Linked DNA regions of Solanum lycopersicum. The main gene of each other region encodes a partner of the protein of the gene in region 2 in a complex. Links are inferred from orthologs where the notes say so. Each region holds a gene or a part of one and is shown on either strand. Other genes may lie near its edges.

What was found.
Region 1: MED18 (region 2) and mediator of RNA polymerase II transcription subunit 32 share a complex: the UniProt entries of both Arabidopsis thaliana proteins name them as parts of the mediator complex. The link is inferred for Solanum lycopersicum from reciprocal best matches to the Arabidopsis thaliana genes AT2G22370 and MED32.
Region 3: MED18 (region 2) and mediator of RNA polymerase II transcription subunit 9 share a complex: the UniProt entries of both Arabidopsis thaliana proteins name them as parts of the mediator complex. The link is inferred for Solanum lycopersicum from reciprocal best matches to the Arabidopsis thaliana genes AT2G22370 and MED9.

What each region holds. Positions count from the first base shown.
Region 1 is NC_090807.1:64,219,904-64,226,708, reverse strand, and holds mediator of RNA polymerase II transcription subunit 32, read left to right. Parts: upstream 1-985; 5' UTR 986-1,131; intron 1,132-1,133; exon of another isoform or gene 1,134-1,262; intron 1,263-1,516; 5' UTR 1,517-1,559; coding exon 1,560-2,000; intron 2,001-2,546; exon of another isoform or gene 2,547-2,562; 3' UTR 2,563-2,929; downstream 2,930-6,805. Other genes in the region: uncharacterized protein, read right to left, coding at 4,397-5,394, 5,989-6,233. UniProt on the Arabidopsis thaliana protein: Component of the Mediator complex, a coactivator involved in the regulated transcription of nearly all RNA polymerase II-dependent genes.
Region 2 is NC_090805.1:1,886,463-1,893,438, forward strand, and holds the start of MED18 (mediator of RNA polymerase II transcription subunit 18), read right to left. Parts: upstream 4,394-6,976; 5' UTR 4,000-4,393; intron 3,820-3,999; exon of another isoform or gene 3,746-3,819; intron 3,010-3,745; 5' UTR 2,988-3,009; coding exon 2,952-2,987; intron 2,786-2,951; coding exon 2,686-2,785; intron 719-2,685; coding exon 661-718; intron 580-660; coding exon 223-579; intron 117-222; coding exon 17-116; 3' UTR 1-16. Other genes in the region: ZNHIT (zinc finger HIT-type containing protein), read left to right, coding at 5,130-5,203, 6,211-6,242, 6,363-6,425. UniProt on the Arabidopsis thaliana protein: Component of the Mediator complex, a coactivator involved in the regulated transcription of nearly all RNA polymerase II-dependent genes.
Region 3 is NC_090801.1:55,597,972-55,604,947, reverse strand, and holds the start of mediator of RNA polymerase II transcription subunit 9, read right to left. Parts: upstream 4,833-6,976; 5' UTR 4,512-4,832; intron 3,417-4,511; 5' UTR 3,376-3,416; coding exon 3,019-3,375; intron 2,912-3,018; coding exon 2,849-2,911; intron 2,767-2,848; coding exon 2,686-2,766; intron 2,302-2,685; coding exon 2,243-2,301; intron 2,103-2,242; coding exon 2,045-2,102; 3' UTR 2,022-2,044; exon of another isoform or gene 1,734-2,021; intron 483-1,733; 3' UTR 1-482. UniProt on the Arabidopsis thaliana protein: Component of the Mediator complex, a coactivator involved in the regulated transcription of nearly all RNA polymerase II-dependent genes.

The DNA.
Region 1 (6,805 bases), on a different chromosome or scaffold from region 2:
ATGTGTAATACACTCGTTGATGACGTGGCAAACAATCAATTAAATAATTACATGTATTATTTTCAGTTAAAAATAATTATAAAATCTATTTAGTAAAAAAATTTAAAATATTATTCTACGAAAATTTCTTATTTCATTACACTCAAATCTCTTTTGTGCTTTACAAAAAAATATTATTTTCTTTTACTATTTTTCATATTTATTCTTCTTTTTAGTATTGTTTTTCTTTAAAAAAAGAAAGGAGGGAGAGAATAAACATGAAATATGGGTGTTGGTATCCATTTTTCCGGCAAAAAATAGAGTGAGGTGAAGATAGACTTAGATAAGTAATACAATGATGAAGAAGAAAATGACTTAACAACGAATTTGAATAAAAAATTTGACCTCCATTGAAGGAATTTAAATTCGAAAAAAAAGGGGGTGGTGGCTTGGAGAAGAAGAAGATAAAATAAAATTAAAAATGGCTAAATTAAGTCTTTCACGCGCTATTGTTAAGTGTATCACACTCACTTTGACATGTCAGCAAAAAGTGCCAAAATGACACAACAGAACCCTACACGAGGTGTCTAAAATGAACATCGCCTAATTTAGGTGTTCTAAGTGAAAATCGATAGCAAGTTTAGGAGGTCACCGATGAATTTGACAAGTTTGAGCAATTAAACAAAATATTTAATTTAAACATTAATGTAAAATTAATTTTATTCATCACATATAATATAATTACTCATCAATAATATATAACACTAACAAATGAAAAAAAATATATGTCTCATTTTAATGTACATAGAACACTTAATATATAATACTAATGATGAAAATACAAATAAAATAAAAATTAAGATACATAAATAATACTACTCCTTTAGTCCAATAAAATAGCACTCGTATATATATAAATAATTATTAGAAACTCAAACAATTATTACTCAATTATGATTTTATTCAAATATATTTTAAAAATCTTACACTCTAAAATATTAATTTTGAAACTAAAGGGAAGCTTTGTGTTACAAATGAAAACTATTGGGGAGGAATATGTAATTATTTCGAAACAGAGTGAGGGGAGAAGAGAAAAAAACCAAAAAAAGACAGAGGAGAAGATTGTGGAAGCCATTTTCTTCCTTCAGTCAAGTAAGTAGAAAAACCCTAGTCTTTGTGGTTTTTCTTCTTTTCATTTGCTTAAATTTATTTGAGTATTTTCAAGAAATTTGTGTATTGCATCAATTTTGTTTCAGTTGATTTCTTGCTTTTGAGTGTTTTGGGTAATCATAGAAAATTGTTTCTTGGGTTTGTTTTTGTATGCAGAATTTGATAGCATAATAGCTCTTTAATTGTTGTACAAAGATTCAATTTTTAATGATGAAATTACTACAAAGATTCAATTTTTAGTGATGGTCTTGCTAAAGATTCAATTTTAATGATGTTGTTGCTATAAAGATTCAATTTTTAATGATGGTCTTGATACAAAGATTAAATTTTTAATGATGTTCTTGCTAATTTATTCTCTCCTTTATAGATTTACGGAGGTTAGTGATCAATTAGGGCTTCGAGGGGTTGTGATGGATAATCTCGTAGATGCACTGAGCAGTGCATATCAAGACTTTGTTGCAGCATCAGCTGTTGTACTTGAATCAAAGGAGAGTTCTAATGGTCAGAAAACAGCAGCAACTGATGCTGCATTAGAAAACTTTAAGCAAAAGTGGGAGTTGTTCAGGGTTGCGTGTGATCAGGCGGAGGAGTTTGTGGAATCGGTTAAGCAAAGAATTGGCTCCGAGTGTCTTGTGGATGAGGCTACAGGCACTGTTTCAGGGAAGCCTGGGCAACCAGCTGCAAGTGGCCTTCAACCCATTAGTGCTGTTAGGTTGGAGCAGATGAGTAAAGCTGTAAGATGGCTAGTGATAGAACTGCAACATGGTTCTGGAGCGAATAGTGCTTCAGCAGTACATCCCAATCCTTCTGCTCCATTTGATGCCAGATTTTCTGAAGATGCAGCTCAATAGGTATACTGAAATCTCGCTGATACTTCCTGTCCTTGTCGTTTCCGTTGACTATGTTAAATAATCTGGAAACAAATTTGTATTATTTAATGAACTATTAGTGATAGGCTTTGTATCCTAGACTTGATGATGAAGCAAATAAGTGAACATTCCCTTGGAACTGAAACTGATTCATATATAAGAGCTGCTATTACAAAACCGCTGGTCTTGTATAAATTTCCAGGTTGATAGAAAAGTAGTAGAAGCTAACAAAACTGCTTTTTAGTGGCATCATATGTTCTCTTCCATCAGAACGAATAACTGTGAGTAACCACTAGTTTCTGCAGCAATTATGTTATATGTACTATCCTTACTTTATTTATGAAGAATACTATCCTTACTTATTAAGCTAAGTTTGACCCAACTTCTTTTTTTATGATCAATTATGTACTATCCTTACTTATTAAGCTGAGTTTGACCCAACACTTCTGACAGACAAATGGAAACTAGAAAAAAAAAATTGGTTTCGTTTTATTCTGTTTTCATCGCTGTAAAACAAAGAACTATTAGTTGTGACTGTTTTCAGGTAACTACAGAGTCTGGTGATCAGCAGAGAGAAACAGAAGATCTTATGTGCCTTAGTAAGCCGCTAAAGTTGATGTTTGATGTATGAAGTCATGTTGTAACGATGTAGAAGAAATACTTTGGAATGATATTTGTAAACCACCTTTACCGCCTCCCTCCCTCGCCATCTTATGAGAAGATCTGGCAAATTTACATTTGTGTTTTCTAGGCACAGAGATTTACTTTTATCGCAGTATGAGCTACTGCACTGTTAGCTTTATTTAGATCTTAAGCATACCAACATATACAAACAGGCTGTATGTTTGTGTCTGCTATGTGTACCTTATATTCTCGAGTATTTATGTTTATAATCGATTTTTGTTAGGAAATATATCTCCAATCTTGTAAAGTGGCTTTTTAGTTAATTGTGTTAACCCTGATGAACTCATTCAGTAGGCTTTGGAGACCTCTGGAATTGTTGCAACAGAGTATTATGACGCTTTGAGTGTAGCAGTATTAGTAAATACGCTTTAGCTTACAACTACATCTTGATTGCTACACAAATGCTCAGTATCCATGTCGCTCCATTTAACCTTATCTCAGTCTAATATTTAGTTGTACTGTATAATAACTTTGAAAACAGAAGTTCTCACTTGTCACTGCACTTGGAAACGTCTTTGTCCAATAACGCAAACTAATACTAGTAAATGAGAGATCTATGATGTAAAAGTTCTGATGGTTATTGAGAATCGTCTGAAGGGATGACAAGCAGAGGCTACTCTATAAAGCTATATATATCAGAAAAAACAACGCTCTTTTCATTAATTTTATGCAGACCCAAGAAGAAATGGGTTTTGAGGCAACATACAATGCTTAAGAGCATCTTTTGAGATAAATTCCATGCAAATATACACAATTTGTTGCTTTCATCTGGATATACAGGGTGGTGAAGAGAGCATGTGCGATAACAATGGCACAACTAGGCGAGTAGTTACCATGAACAGCACAAGCACTTTATGTTCAAAAGTCATAACTGATCCTATGAGCAATAGATTGAATATTGAGTAGCAGCCTCAAACATACTGTGTAACAACCAACGCTACAAGCAATAGATCGTGAGCAACCGCCTCAAATAAACAATCCCTTTACTGGTGAAATCACTTTTTTGCAAAACTAAGCTATTATGGTCTAAGAAAGCAAAGCTCTTAATCATAAGATGCTCTATTGGTCCCAAGCTCCACATAGGGTTGCTAATTGGGTGGAGTCTTCCCACAGCAATGTGGACAAAAATCTATCACATGGTCAGCAGTCCTACTGTTCAGGAAGAACATAAACCACTCAGTAGTTGTACCTTCTTCTAACAGGACTCTGCTGGCAGAATTCTGGTCATTCTTCTTGCTTACATCTTCTTTCGTCAAAACTCGTTTTTTTCCCAGTCTTCAAGTCATTCAGAGCTTCAGTTCTTCAACCAGCTCTGATGTGAATCAGGGAGCCTAAAGAGCCCTGGACGAACATTTGACATCTTATCTTTAAGCTGATAGGCCACTAGTGATACCAGAATTTTCATCAGCAGCACCTATCCTCATAAGCTTTTCGACTTCAGATGCTTCAGCCATATTTACCAGAGAGGATTATACTGCCTTGGTTCTGGATGAAATTGCGTAGTCTATTCTATTTTCAACACTGTAATCCAGGATGATGTCTAGATCTGTGGAGTTCCTACATACATACATCATTCTGCTGGTTATTCAAGCATTGATCTAGAGAAGACTCAGCTGCAGCTACACAGAAGCTGTGGTTGCTCGTCCATCGTTGTTGCACAGTCAGCTTTATTCCAGATCCATCTTGAAAACCGTCTAAATTTGCAATAATGCATCTGCGGAAGGAATATTGTTCGTCGTATCCAGCTCCTCATCAATCATGACATCTCCGTTCTCGTCAAACACATTGGCTGATGTAATCCCATCAAGAGAAAACAATTGACTCGCACAAGCGGAGATGGATACTGGGCTGGTTTGCATCTCAACAGAAGGATGTTCCACAGCAGAACCTATATCTGTGCGCGTGCCATTTTGAGTAGCTACCCGATCAATCTTGCCACCACTCAAATTACATGTGGCAGAACTTGGATGCTGGAGCTCAGTCAGATCATTTTCCACATTGACTAATGTGTGTGTTCTATTGCTTGCTGTCACCACATCAGGTTTGGCTGTAGTAAGCTGAAGAGCTTGTCGCTTCGACTGGCCACTTCCAGGACCAAGTTGAGCATTCAACTGCGTCTGCACCCAGACAGCTAGAGAAAGTGCATGATCACGAATCAAAGAATCATGAGGTGGGCAGTGTAACATATCGACCAGAGCCTGCATATACTGGAACATACTGACGGATGGAGTATTAGACCCTTTGTCACGTAGACATTTAATGCTTTTAAGAATATGCTCGCATAAGTTTCCCATTTTCGCCCAATTACAATCACAAAGTGCATATTCGGAAGCTGGATTCCAAACAACATGCACTTTATGTCGATCTTCCTGATCAACAACTTTTGAATAATCACCCTCAATTAACACATCTGAATCTGGAATCTGCAAAGATTTCTGCCAAGCTGTTAAGCCACTCATCCATTCATCCTTCCAGTATCGTGCGAAATCATCCTTCCCTGAGTACTCATCAAGCCAGAAGTAAGAATGCACTGTAGTACCTAGCTTATCTACTAACCAATCAGCACGTTGATATACACATTTTTCCTTCTCATTCAATAACCTAAGCTTTAATTGGTTGTGATAGTATTCCATTGACGAGCACATCTCCTGGCTGGCAAGAGGAAGACTTCTCAGTGCACTAGTCCAGAGCCCTGAGTAATCAAAATCCGTCAGCAAGAAAAGCCCCAAAGAGGAACCAACTAATTTATAAAAGTATTTCAAGCATTCTTGAAGAATAATGTGTTTTTCAAAACTAAAAGAATAAGGTCTTTAGTACAAAAACTAGGCTAGCATGTCCTTTTCAAGTGAGGACACATAAACGTGAAAGATTGCATGTATGGAGTTCCTCAATCTATAATAATTTAAATGCATAACAACTGAGAAATTGTTATGTAATTGAAAATATGACGGAGTTTTTGGACTTCATGACACCCAATCATAACAACATACCCAGTGACCTCATCTTTTATGAAACAGAGCTAATCCCGGGATCCAAAAAAAGACTAACATTTACCACACAGATGTGTGAAGCATCTTTTTTTTTTTTGCAAGGTATGTGAAATGTTGCACAATGTGGACATAGGGAGTGTTAGTTTAAATTCATGCTAGGCCTGGATCTAAATCAGATTATCCATGTGTCAATTGAGTAAGCAGAAAACCTGTTTCAGAGGTGTACTTCAATCTAATTGCAATAACAATCCTATTGGTACCTACAGAGACTGTTTTACTGAATAGTAAAAACTCACCTAGTCTTGGGTACCATATGGCCTTGAAATAGTCCAAAAAATCTGCAGCATCCACAAATTCTTCCATAAATTCTTCAAACAAATCAGCAGTTCCATCCCCTTTGCAGATGCGCTGCACTGCCTGGCCTAGCCTCTTTGCAATTACAGCACAGGTCTCCAGTTCCGAGCATTTCTTAATCAAGTTCTTATGCCATGCATGACGAACCCGCCAAAAGCATATCAATACAGAGCACTGGAACACTTCCCTGAATAATAAGCAAACAAAGATTTAATACACCATGCATGCAAGAAAAGTCAAGAAGGTGAAGTAGATGACTAGAGGGCACAATTTTAATCTGTGCAATCTAGTATACAAAATATATACTCTACAGAACCTCAACTCATGAGTGACTGAGAAAGCACAAAAAGAAAAACTAAGTGACATGCCTAACATTCAGATAAACCTTCCACACACTGAATGAGCAAAGTATGCAAGTTCCATCATTCAATTTAAAATTTATTACTCTCACCATCCCAATTTATGTGATGTAATTTGATGATGCAAGGAGTTAAGAAATATGGCAAGACTTTGCAAGGTTTCAAAACTAACCTTAATATAAATGCATTTCTAGATAGAAAAGTACATCTTTGTGGAGTTGTAGCCAAATAAGTGGGACTCAACATGGGTAAAATGTTAATAGTGTCATTATATATTTACCAAATAAGGAAATATGTCATTCTTTTATTCTTCATTAGTTCAAAATATTCAGACCGATCCAACAGAACAACATTGAAATTGCCAGCCTATTTTACATGCATTCATCTACTAATATCATCA
Region 2 (6,976 bases):
TGAGTAATTTTTCCATTCACTTTGTGCCTCCACCATCAGACATCAGAGATGCAGCAGCTGCAGCTGCAGTAGGAACAACCCCTGTTGAGACACCGGGTTTTGACAAATGAAGGAGCCTGAAAACAAAAGAAACCATTTGTATGTTTTACTAGACCATCATATACAATACCAGGTACGACTAGCCAATTCTTATGGATAACAAACCAAGATAAAGATGCTTACGGTGCAAGATATTCACAGAAGGACGTTACAGATGCAACAACTTCATTGTAATTTTCAGATGAAGCTGGTGCAGTCACTTCAACTAGCTGTATGCCTGGAGTCACAGGCACTGCATCATCGATAGCATGAGGTTTCAACATCTTGTTGATGGATGAAACTGTTACAGTTATCTGGGCACCTCTTTGGAAATGAAATGCAAAACCAACTCTCAGCTGCTCATGGTCTAGCTTGTAGCCAAGTGAATAAAATAAGCGTAATGCATTCTTGCTTATTTTGCTTTCTTGCATTGGTCTCACCAACACTGAGATTTGTTCAGCACCAGCACCTCTCATTGGACCACCAACATGCCTAACAGTCCTATGTTTAATCACATAAAAAAAAAACTTAGGCTTCAAGTGTCCCAATAGATAGGGGCTCAGGACAAACCAGATCTCTTACCATGCAGGTTCTGGCTGCTCAAGATCACATAAGAGCCGTATTTCTGATGCTACTAAGCCTGAGAATGGTAAGCAACAGACCACACGGTTAAAATAACCCAAAGACAAAGAGCAGGAAAGGAGAAAAGAAAAAATCGTGAGAAGGCATAAATGATTTTTAGACAAGATATGATATGTGATTGGAGTATAAACAGTTGATCATGCACGCAATATTTGGTCCATTTTATATCTCTCAATTAGGTGAAAATCAGATATCAATTTGAGTCCACACTTTTGCTCATTTTGTTTAGGTGATGTCGCATGACATGCTAGAAAGCAGTTCGAGAGGATTTGGGCTGTAAACAACTCAAAGATTAGGTGCTCAGGCACCTCACGGTGTTGAAATAGCTCCGAAACAACTTGAAGTACACAATTGTGCAACCTGAGAACCAACATTTTGCAAACACAAGGGAGTGAGTGTGCCTTGCACGCCCTGCTGCTAATTGCACACTACCTAGTGAATGAGAACTGTAAGTGCACAATTTCGGAATTCCAAGTGGTTTGAACCCTAACCTCTCAAGTCCTAAATACTCGTCCTAAGCTAGGATACTTGAGTTTTTGCACGACCCGTGACAGCATAGAGGTGGGAAGAGAGATCCAACACTAGAATTAGAGCTCAAAGGAAGAGATTGACGGTTTGAGGAGTTTTTCTTCTCATATTTTACTCTCATTATAATTTTTGTGATTTTAATACTTCATTATTTGGATTGACCGCTATTATAAAGTAACTTTCTGCTAGTTAGATTTAGATGGATATCATAATTTAACTCTTATAAATTAATTCTCTAACTACAATTATTAATTTGATTCAAACCATTTGTTCTGCAATTCAAACTTCTGATCTAGAGAGGTCACTGGACTCCATTATTTTCCCAATTACGTTTGAATGATCATAGTTTGCTTTTTTTCCTTGTCTAACCAAGAGGAGAAATCAGTCTTCAACATACTTTATGAATTGTGATGATGATATGACAAATGCGTAGACAACCACAAGGGGTCAACATATATTTGTGGGAGCCAAGGTTAATTAATCAACCGTCTTCCATATTTAAGGTATAATAATACCTTGACTATTATAATAAAAAGAAATACACTTAGCCAAGAAGGTTATAGTAGTTAGATGTAATCGAGATATACACCAGTGATTTGGAAGGTGATTAGCTGAAGGTGCTCTGAATTTAAGGTTTTCTATTTCCTTAGATATTACTACAAGCGAGAGGAATAATCAATGTTGAGTGTAATAGAGAGAGGCACTTATAACTTAGAGATCAATATTGATTGGTGGACAGTGAACACCATACACTAATCATAAGTGAAGTCTAGATTCAACTCCTTCTGATTAGAACAAAAAAGTCTATATTCAACTCGTTTAATGAACTGATGGATACTCTTTCACCATCATTCATGTCATAGAACTCTTATTTATATTTCATTTTAGTCAAAAACATTCCGCCTGCTTATCTGATTACTCGAATAGTAATTGAGCAACACTAATTAGGATAGCAGAAACTCAATCCTTGTGGGATCAACATCTGCCATACTATCTTTAACAGGAAACAAGCATTGTTTTAATACTCCGACGTTACCCTCATCAACATGTCAAAGAATCACATGTACATCATCGCAGAGAATCACATCTGTATCATCGACAAAACCATGATAGGCAACACTTTGTTGAAAACAAGGCACTCAACAGTCAACAAGTGAATGAGCAAAAACCATGTGGTCTCGACCTATAAATTAGATGTACTGAAAGTGAATCATACTTGAACCTAATTCCATTCAATAATTGACATGCAGCACCACAGTACAACTAGAATAAGATGGACCATAAAAAAATTATCAGCTATGTACAAACTCAAAGGTGAGAAAACCTCCCTACGAATGCATAGATGGTTGTGAGCATTTGCCTCAGCCACATCAGTACATACATGACCATTGGGTTAGTTCCTAGTTCCATAATAGTTCAAAGAGAAAATACACTTACCTAGGTTAGGGACACTTTTAAGGCACAGTTCATGAATCCTTAAGCTTTGTTTATGTACACCACAAAGCCCTTGAAGCAGAATTTCCAGGGCCTCGACATGCTGCAAGTATGATTAGCACTGTCAAGATCTTTTCAATAATCAATTGCCAAAAACTGTTTCAGTAAATGCCGTAGTATACCTTTTACAAGTAGCATACCTTCTAAAAGATTGAATAAGAAAAAAACGAGAAATAGGGGGAGGTTTTATCATTACTCCAGGAACTTACTTGAGTCTCAATAATTCCCTGAACCACACACTCCATTCGCACTTCAATTTATTCAAACCTACATGCAAAGAACTCTTTAGAACATACCTATGAACCAAAAAGATATTAAGTTTAACAGAAGAGTAACAACGAAAAAGCTAACACCTAACCAAAATCATAACAAAGTTGACACTCTTTGTATGAGAAGTGCATTGCTTGAAGATTAATGGATCTTAATATGAATTTAGTTTTGGATTGAGGCTTAAAGTTTTTGCCCGGATTGCCCCTATTTTGGGGTGGTCTTCAATTATTGCCTTTTCCATCCATAATTAGAAATTTAAGCATTTGGTCATTACTTGTCTTTTGGTACACCCAAATTCTCACCAAGATTTTAAGCATGAAACTTCTAATGATCCAATATGCACCAAAAACTGTCAAACTTGCTCCTTTCATTAGGCTATGACCAAACAACCTTAAGTTTTACTAAGTTTCTTCAAAGAAATAGGTAGTAGTGCTGGAATGGTATCAAGTTTTATCAATGAAGTCACTCCACCATGGGTGATTCTTTTCATGTGGAAAATTAGTCACTTGGACACATAGCTTAACTCCTGTTTGGCAAATATTTTCTACATACGTACAACAACATATATACATTCTATCCTCCCCATAGTCCACTTGTGGGATTTCACAAGGTATGTTGTTGTCATTGTTATATGATGGAGCATGTGCTCAGCAAAAACAACGAATGACTACAAAAATGGAGGAAAGAAAGAGAAAATGGAAAAGGAGAAGAATGGGTGAAGAAAAGACAATACCTTGGACTATATGGTATATGTTGCCTTTGGTTTTTTTCGACTATTTTGGCATCAAAATATGATTTTTCTAGTGCCTGTACAATTTGATCTTTGTTTAACATATCTTTATTGTTATACATCTGTTTTTTCAAAGTTTCTACATCAAACTCCAAATTTTATCATCTATACACACTATTGTATGACATATAAAACACAATCATTTAGCATTGTAGAACTAAACATAAAACATCAGAGCAAAAAATTGAAAGAATTACCTTGAACAGTTGAAGCAATCTCACTTTTTCCCCCAATCTGAGCTGCAAAAATTCAATTAAAAAAAATAGTTCGAAAGCTTAAACAGGCAGACCTAAATTAATCACATAACAAAAAATCAACGATAACAACGAGCCAAAGAAAAAAAAATTCTAGCTAGAAATCTAGGTTTCTATATCAAACAAGGTCCAATTGTAACAAAAAATCCAGTTTTCTACATCAAACAAGGTCCAATTGTAACAAAAAAATCTAGGTTTCTACATCAAACAAGGTCCAATTAATCACATAACAAAAAATCAACAGTAAAAACGAGCCAAAGAGAGATTTTTTCTAGCAAGAAAAATATGTTTCTACGATCAATTGTAAAATTAAGGTTTAGTAATGCAAGCTATGGCTGAGAGAAACCAAAACAATTAGCAGTAACAGAGATAATATGGTGATTTAGTGCTCAATGAAGTGGTCGAAAATATCAAAAAAGTCGAAACTCAAGACATAGGGTTGGAATAATACCTATTGCGAAAAGTGACAAGTATCTCGTAGAATCAATTGAAAATATTAGCGGATTCTTTTCATACGAGTGGATAAATGTCTGTTACGAAAATTTGATTAGTATCTTATATAATTAATTAAAAAATATTAATGGATTCTTTCTATAGGAATGGATAAAATAATTTGATACCTTATACGAAAAATTGATTATTACGAAATTCTTTGATAAAATGATTTTGATACCTTTTACGAAAATTGATAACACGAAATTCTTTCTATATGAATGGATAAAATAATTTGATACTTTTTACGAAAATTAATTATTGCAAAATTCTTTCTATATAAATGAATAAAATGATTTGATTCCTTTTACGAAAAATGATTATTATAGAAAGTGACGAGTATCTCGTAGAATTATTAGAGAAAAGTGGTACTTAGCAGAAGAGAAAATGGTTTGAAAATTTTGGACCCGAATTCGAGTTTAGGCCCATAATTAATTAAGCGACTCAAAGTATAATTTGATAAAATTGTAAGAACCCGATTGAATCTAAACTCAAAATTCAGGGACCAATATTGCAATTTTACATTCCACCTCTTCCAGAAAAAACCCTAAAACCTCGATAACGAAGAAGAAGAAGAAATAATGGGATCGAAAAAATGTCAAGTATGTGATGAAGCACAGTCGAGATACAAGTGTCCCAATTGCTTCATCCCCTTGTAATTATATTTCCATCTTTTTTCATTCTTTGAAATTTATTTGAATTTTAATTCTGGGTTTTGAGTTTGTTTTTAGTTTAAACTGAAGGGGAATGGATATAGATTATTCATACAAAATTCAGAGTAAAAATTTTTATATGTAGAAAAACATCATAATTGTAGCAAATAGAGATATGAATTTGTTGATAAGAAACTTAGGTTTCGTTTGGTAACTAGTTAGAATTATGCAGTTATTTTTTATGTCCGGCATAAAATAATATATAAATTTCTTCGTAGCTTATATATGTATTAGTCATGTAGCTTTCTAAATTGCGGACTTTTATACATTGAAATCATTGCAAAGAACCTTAGGTGTCGTTTGGGAGCCGGTTAGAATTATGCAACTGTCAGTTATCTATCTTATGTCAGGCATAGAATAAATACACAAATTTTTCTCATAACTTATATTTGTATTAGTTATATGCGGATTTCTAAAGTGCATATTTTTATACATAAATTTGTCGCAAAGAACCTTAGGTGTGTTAGGTAGCTGGTTAGAATTATTAGCTGTTTGTTATCTATCTTATGCCTGGCATAAAATAATGCATAAATTTCTCATAACTAAGGTGAATTTCTAAATTGCAGACTTTTATACATGAATTCGTTGCAAAGAACTTTGAAGTGTCGTTTGGTAGCTGGTTAGGATTATGGAGTTGTTAGTTATCTATCTTATGCCTGCGGATTTCTAAATTGCAGACTTTCTTTACATGAATAATTTACTTCTTTAACTAAATACGAAGCGCTGTATAATTAAGTTGCCTCTGTACTAGCTATCAAACGATAGCTAAAGGTTGAACTCATAAAACTTAAGTATTGGATTCCCTGTGAATTCAGTGAACTCAATTTGTTTAGTATTGAGGGTGTAACAGTATTAGTATTTATTGGGTTGTAATTTATGGGTTATGTTACTGGAGATTTGAGTATTGATAAACCTAAAAGTTCTTTTTTTGGTTGTTTTGATCTTGCAGTTGTTCTTTGGTCTGTTTCAAGAAGCATAAAGGTATGTTCTTTATGAACATATTATGTGAATCTAACTATTCTTATGGGTTATACTTGTGGTTTGTGTATTTTATAGTGATAAAAATTGGTCTTTTCATGAGCTTATCTGTGGGTTATGCAGAAATTCCATGCGGGAAACCAGAACCGGAACCCGAATCAGAACCACTTTCTGAGGAAAAACTTGGTAAGGATGGCTTCTCTAATAAAACGGTTGAACTTTTTTTCTTGTTGTATTTTTGTATAACCATTATAAGAATGTGAATGATATGCTTATATTTTTTCTCACTAACTGTAGTTTAAGTTTATTGTCTTCGTTAGTATCTTTTGTTGTCACTTAGCTATCCTTTTTGTCGGTGATGGTACGTTATGTTCAATAACCATTTGCATTTATGGTGATAACTTTGATACCTGACAAGACGTCTCTTTGATGAATGAGTTTCCGGAGAAATCCAAAAGAAAAAAAAGAAGGCAGTCCAGTGCATGAAGCACCCCGTGTTCATGTAGGGTTCAAGGAAGGGCTGCACCCAAGGGGTTAAGTGTAGGCGGCCTAACTTGATGCGGGCATCATTGTTAATTTCATGACTCAAACCCATGACATATAGGTTACATAGAAACAACTTTACCACTGTTCCAAGGTTCCTGTTGTTTCCTAGGGCAATCAGACCTGCTATATGCGTGTAGTTGTAAATGTTGTGTTATTAGACTAGTGCCGCTTCCAACTTCTTCGATGTAGCA
Region 3 (6,976 bases), on a different chromosome or scaffold from region 2:
AACAATCCCATTCTAACGACTGTTATTTGCTCAAATCAATGACATTCATCTTACAATTATAAACGAACATTCAAATACATACAGAGATTTGATATAAATGCCGATACGAATTATTTAATTTTTGTGTGTAGGTCATCTATCTTGGCCGCCTTCCTAGTGTAGTAGCTCTTCCTAACCATTGGTACCAGCAAACTCCAATTAAGGTTTGATGATTGTAATAGAGCTAAGGCAGTCAACAGGTCAAAAAAGGAAACAGTTCTAGATGTCTAGTCTCATAGAAATAAATGGCGGAAGATGCAATCATTTGCATCCAAACAAGGTTAAAACACTAAATAGGTTTTGTAGGAAATACATGATAAAGACATATCTGATGATGGAGTCTCGAGGATTCATCATCGCTAGCTCGAATTTAATGTTCTTCTGCAAATTCCTCATGACAATGATGATGCTAATGCTCGGAGAAGTTTGCTAGTGTGTTTTACCTGTGCCAAGAAAAAGTTTCATCAGATGGGAAAATTCAGATGTTCAATAAAGTTTCGTCATATCATTGTTGATAATGTTTCATATTTCACTTTAGCCAAGTTCTGTCACATATATAAACAGAAAAATGGCAAGATCTCAGAACCAGCATAGAGGAATTTTAGTGACTCAAGATGTTTTACTTCAGTAGATGGTATGCAGATCCAGCATGGATTACAAAATATATCCTGAAATAAGAATTTGAGCCAGCTACTAGAGGAATACTCCATTTGAAACTATCGAGAGATATTATAGGTGAAACGCGTAGAAAAGCACCAAAATCTGTTGGGACTTGAGAGGAAAAGCTTAAGTGAGGTCATATGCAAAGAAAAACACTGATGAATAATATTAAAAATATATATGTAGAGCAAGGAAAAATAACTACACAAAAAATAATACTACACTAATCATTTGGATAGAAAACTTAACAGAACTACTATGATTAAGTGAAACTGAATTTCTAATTTGGATGTAATTCAGTTGTAAGTCTTCACTAACTATTCTTCTTTTCTAGTTTCGTATTTCTAATTTCTAGTTTCTTATTCGTAACGATTAAGAATATATAAAACAGCATTTTGTATCAATCCGTCAACTAAGTTGACATTTACTCTATAGTCTAACTTCCTAAAAATGACAAGGACACTATTTAGCTACTTGATGCCTGAGCCAAGGTGTCAATTAAGCAAGGCAAAGCGCCCAACTCGGACTTCACCTAGCTTCAGAGTTAAAGTGCACTTTAAATGAATATTTAACGATTTCTGAGAATAGATTATGAATGATGCAAATAATAACTTAGATATTTCGATAGCTAGCGATGTCCAACTTATTTGTGAAGTTCCTAATGCTGATTTGAATTCTATGTAGCATTGAATTCAACTCAAAAAAATACATAAGGTAACAAAAATATTAATCTTTAAGCAAATCAAATCTCCCAACAACTTAGGCAAACATACATTTTTCTAAAGCCATGTCTTCGGGAAGTTCTCGATGTACGTGATATGTAACATAGATCACTCCCGGATGCCCTCAAAGTCCATATATGGAAAGATCAACTCTCCAGGCTACTTAAATTACTTTAAATGCTTAGACTATTTCTAGTCAAGTATTAAACTGAACAATCAGCTATCCAGGTGCCTGACTAGAGCCCGGGTAGCACCGTTACTTCAATTATTTGCTTCACTTTGATGTAATTAGATTTAAATACAATCAGTCAGTTAAGAAGGCAATGCATTACTTTATCATAACCTTGGCCCAAAACATTTTATGTTCTCAGTACAGTCAGAGCAGTCATTTGTGGCGAGCGCCATAGTGATTACAACAGTAACATCAATAAAAATTTCTCATGAGCACTTTATTCTCATGTATTACAACAAACTACAAATTGACTGCATCCAGAACACTGCATAGTTGTTTCACTTGCATCTAGTAAAATCAAAATGACAGGTGATTCAACTCAACTTCTTTTGGGCAGGCCAAAAACAACTTGCAGCGCATAATTTTACCTTGGTTAAAATGCGAGTATGAGCTATAGTTCAGAGTTAATAATCTCCTCAACTGAGCCTTTGTACCTCGAAATAAGATCCCTGTAATTAAGCATGAAACATGACCATCAGATGAAGCAAATAATAATTATACAAATTTCAGTAGACAATATTAGAAACACACACACACACACATATATATATGTGTGTGTGTGTGTGTTTTATATATATATAATACAAACCTTCGCTGATTTAGCATTTGTTCGCACTCTGCCTTTTTGCGCTTTTGTCCCTCAACTGTCTGTCCAAAGAACACAGGACTGGTCAATTATCTTACCCATATTTAAGCATCAAAACATGCAACCAAATAAGAATTTGTGGAGCAACTTTGTTCAAGTCAACATCGTTTCAAACATATTGAACCCCACTTTTCAGTAAAATTCTTCACAACTATAAGTTGAACAAACAGGCCCAAATGGAAAAGCACAATTAAAAGCAATAACACTGCCAAAAGAAAAACAATCCAACTCTTCCAGAAAAGAATAATTTTGAAGTTCTGTTTTCATATTATTGCGCTTAACTCTTTGTTGGAGTCTCTCTCTTTTTTCTTTTTATTTTTTGAGTTGGGGGTGTGTTCAGAACAAGTTACAACAGAAATCAAAGGATATGTGTGAAAATGAAATACCATAGATCTTGAGCTAATAGACCCTGATATTGATGTCAACAGCTGCTGGCACTTCTCAAACTGATTTTTCAATTCAGTTACCTGGTGAGGAAAAATACACCCGGTTTAATGTAGAAGAAATGGAAAACTAACATATAATGCATCAATCAAGAAATGAACAAACCAATGCATCTGAGTGCTGATCTCGATTTCCATTTTCAATTGTATCAGCTAAATTCTCCACCAGCTGTAAGATGACAATAAAAGTTAGAACAAAAGGTCTCACTAGGAAAGAGAAATGTCTCGTTACTCTATTAAAATAGCAAGCTACAGATCATGGTTTTTGCCCAATACTTGTAAAAGATGGAAGTGAGAGGCAAGTGATTGGTGGTGCTGTTGTTGTTGTTGCTGCTGCTGCTGTTGTTGTTGTTGCTGCATTTGCTGCTGCTGTTGTTGTTGTTGCTGCATTTGCTGCTGCTGCATCTGTTGCTGCTGCTGCATTTGTTGCTGTTGCATCTGTTGTTGATACCGTTGTTGTTGTTGCTGCTGCTGCTGCTGTTGTTGCTGATAGAGCTGCGGTTGAATGAACTGTTGTTGTTGAAATTGCTGTTGCTGAAGAAATAAATTGTCTTGATTGGAGGGTGTCGAAGGATTACTGTGAGTTTGGATGTTGGGGATCATTGTCCAACTTCCTCCTCCAAAGTGGTCCATAACTAATGGCTGTTGAGCTGAAATCTGTTGGTACTTTGGTTCTAAAATGGATAAAATTAATGTCATCAGATGTAATCAAGTACTACACAAATAGCCAAAACTATCAAAGCATGAACTGGCCTAATGGACTGAGTAGCAAAGAGAAATAATTCCTAAGATTCTGAAATGTACAAACCACTTCAAAAATATATTTCCCATCATTCCTAAATGACATTTCATCCACATCTTATTACAAGAATAGTTCTTTTGTACCAAAGAGAACAAAGCCATCAAGTGAGACCCTCTAAAACTGAAGCCCATCCCTCGTAACAAACAGTAAACTCTTCTTTGAAATTTAACAAACAGTAAACTCTTATCTCCAAGTAAAAACTACCATGACATCTGTATAAATTTGGTGTTCACATTGTTAAATCAATAGGTACATCGGAAAAAATTACTGCTGCAACTATGTCTTTTTGATAAGGTTAAAAATTATCCTTGAATGGGCATCGGGTAGATGCCAGATTACAAAATATGCGACCGCTTAGCTCTAATTCGGAAGGGCATAAAAAAAATCTCAGCACTCATACAAGTATCCTAAACTAAAGCTAAGGAGCTAGCAATCCCAAGCAAACCAAAAGGGTAGATAGTTATTAGTATGCACTAAAAAAGTTTACAAAACCTAAAACTGTAAAATTAGATAGTTATTAAAGTGAGAAATGAATCAATCCCAACTGCACCTCTTACTCTTTATCTCTAATTTAGCTCAGTAATCAAGAAGTATGCCTCAATCCCGAATTAGTTTGGGTTTACTATATGAATTCTCTCCATTAGAACCCCATCTATTCCAATATTCAATAATTTAGGTTTTCATAACCCTAGAGGTTCCCTATTACTAACATACAAATATCTCTCTATCTATGAAATTAACAGTTTTAGGTCAAAATCACAACCTCAAAATTTCCAACAAAAAAGAACTCTAAATCTTCTGAACAGAATCTTCGTTTGCTATAACACTGACAACCAAACCCTTGATTTAAGCCGCCACAAGAGAATGAATTCACAACTATACGAAGCTAAACTTTACTGAAACCACAACTAGTACAGTTAATAACAAAGCAGAAGTACGATGAGAATTACAAAACGAGAAAGATTACCGGAGATGAAAAGGCCCGATCCGGTTAAACCCCAACGGAAAATCCTCTGTTTTTTCAAATAGCAAAATTGAAATTACTCCCGCTGTCCCAATTTGTGGGGAGGTTTCGATTTCAAGAGCAAACAAGCTAATTTAGAAATTTTAACATTTTCTATAGTATAAAATTTAGTATGTATTAAAAAAAAATAGATAATTTTTAATAATTAAAATACTAATTCAAAATACATAAAACTCACTTTTCATTAACCGATTTGATTTATATATGAACTAATATTTTAACAAACTGAAATAGATTGAACTAATAAAAAAGTAGATCACTAGTGCATTCAAATTTGAATGAATTGTATTTAAATTAAGAGGAAACAACACAAAACACACATTTACATTTGTGTTATTTATCGGTTGAAACTATACTTTCTAATTATATTTTCTCTTAGAACTTTACAAAATAGATACATATGAGTCAAAATTAGATATAATTTATTCTATACACTTGATATCTAAGCATGTTTCACATGTATTCAAAAGTCATTATAAAGAGATTGATAAATAAGTACAGTCAAATAGAAAAACTTGCATATGATGTTCATTGATTGGAAAGTTTTTTAGACAGAGTCTTGAAGGAGGTTTTTTGGAGATGTTTGGAAATTGGAGGTATGTAGAAGTCTGATATCAAAACGGACACTTTTTAAACCCTAAACACTAAAAGGGACCCTCTATAAAACACACACCAAATTTTTTTGGAGGTCCCTTTGGGTGTTTAGGGTTCATAAAATGTATGTATTAATGCCAGACTCTATGACGTATATTTAGAAGATCAAGGACATGTATGAAGGAGTCAAGACCTAGAAGAAAAAAAAGCACTTTTCCACTATGAAGAGGTTGCACCAGACATCAACTTTTAGATCAAAATCATTTATCTTGATGATGAATGAATTAACGCGATATATCCAAGAAAGTGTATGATGAGTATGTTACTCGCCAAATAGTGGCGGAGCCAGAAATTTCGCCGAGGTTGTTCAAACTTTAAAAGAGTCGATAATTTTTTTAGCGAAGTGGGTACACAAAATTTATTTTTGCAAATGTGTGAGAAATTAAATTACACATCACTTAGTAACTAAATCTTGCGGAAATTTAAAATGATAAAACTATCGATGGAATAAATCAAAACTAATGGACAAAAGTCACAAAATAATTTTTGCTTGAAATATACTCCCTCTAGTTCATATGAAATAAATTGTCGAGTGTTTTTTGTAATTTAAATAACTGAATAGTTCAAATATCGAATAATGTATGATGAGCTTGAGTCGAGTCACAAAAAGGGCTATGATGAGCCTTTTGAGAGTGACTTTCACGATTATGATGAGTTTTTTTCTCCTATTTTCAAATTCTTAACTATTTTACTTTTTCTAAATAGAAAGATACTTTAGAAATACTCAAAAGTATAATAATAAATAATAATCTTTAATTTTTTCTTTAAAATAAAATCTTGAGAATGTGTATACCTAATAAGTCACTTAATACAGATCTCTTACACATAATTGAAAAGAGAGTGTGTTTTATGTTTTAAAAAACATGTTGCAACTGAGGACCTCTTGCACGTAAATGAACATGCTTACCAGCAGACCAATAGACTTTGTCATAGGTGTTCAATTAATTATATATCGCAATATTATATAGCATTTTATTTATATATAGGGTATAATTTGGCCAAAAACATTTTTTAACTATACCCGAAATCTAAACTACATCCTTAAATTATTATTTTTAGCATAAAACATCATTTATCTATACCCCAAATTTAAGCTACATTCTTAAAGTATCATTTTTAGCAGAAAACATCCTTTAAGTATTTGTAAGTGAACAACTTTCATCCTTTTGTTAGATATTGTCAAAAACTAAGGGATCTTACAAAAACATGAGCAGTTAACGCGACTATCAACAAAAGTTATTATGTATAATTTCATTATTTTCTACAAGAAGTTCTTGAAAAATATAAAAAATCTTAGACATTGTTGCTTATGGAAATTAAAAATGATTGAAAGGTGTGAGCGTACATGATTCGCCTTTTCCGTAATTGAAAAAGGTTGGAGATTAATTATTTTGAAATTTTAGCCAAAATCATCATTAAACTATACCTCAAACTCAAATTACAGCCTTAAAGTATATTCTTATCATAAAACATCCTTAAAGTATTTTAAAGTAAATAATTTTCATCCTTAATTGATATATCCCTCAAAAAATAAGCCGTCCCTTCCTAATTGTTATTCTTATATATGCCAAGAATATTATCGCGAACTTTTTCTTAATTGAGTTAAGAATTATGCAAAATCTTTTAATTTGACCGTCTTTTTCATTCATTTTTCATATAATTTTAATTTAAAATATTATTAATTTAAATAGTTTCTTCTCAATTAAATATGCTAGAAGCGACATTTTTTGGAGACTTCCCCTTCAAATAATGTA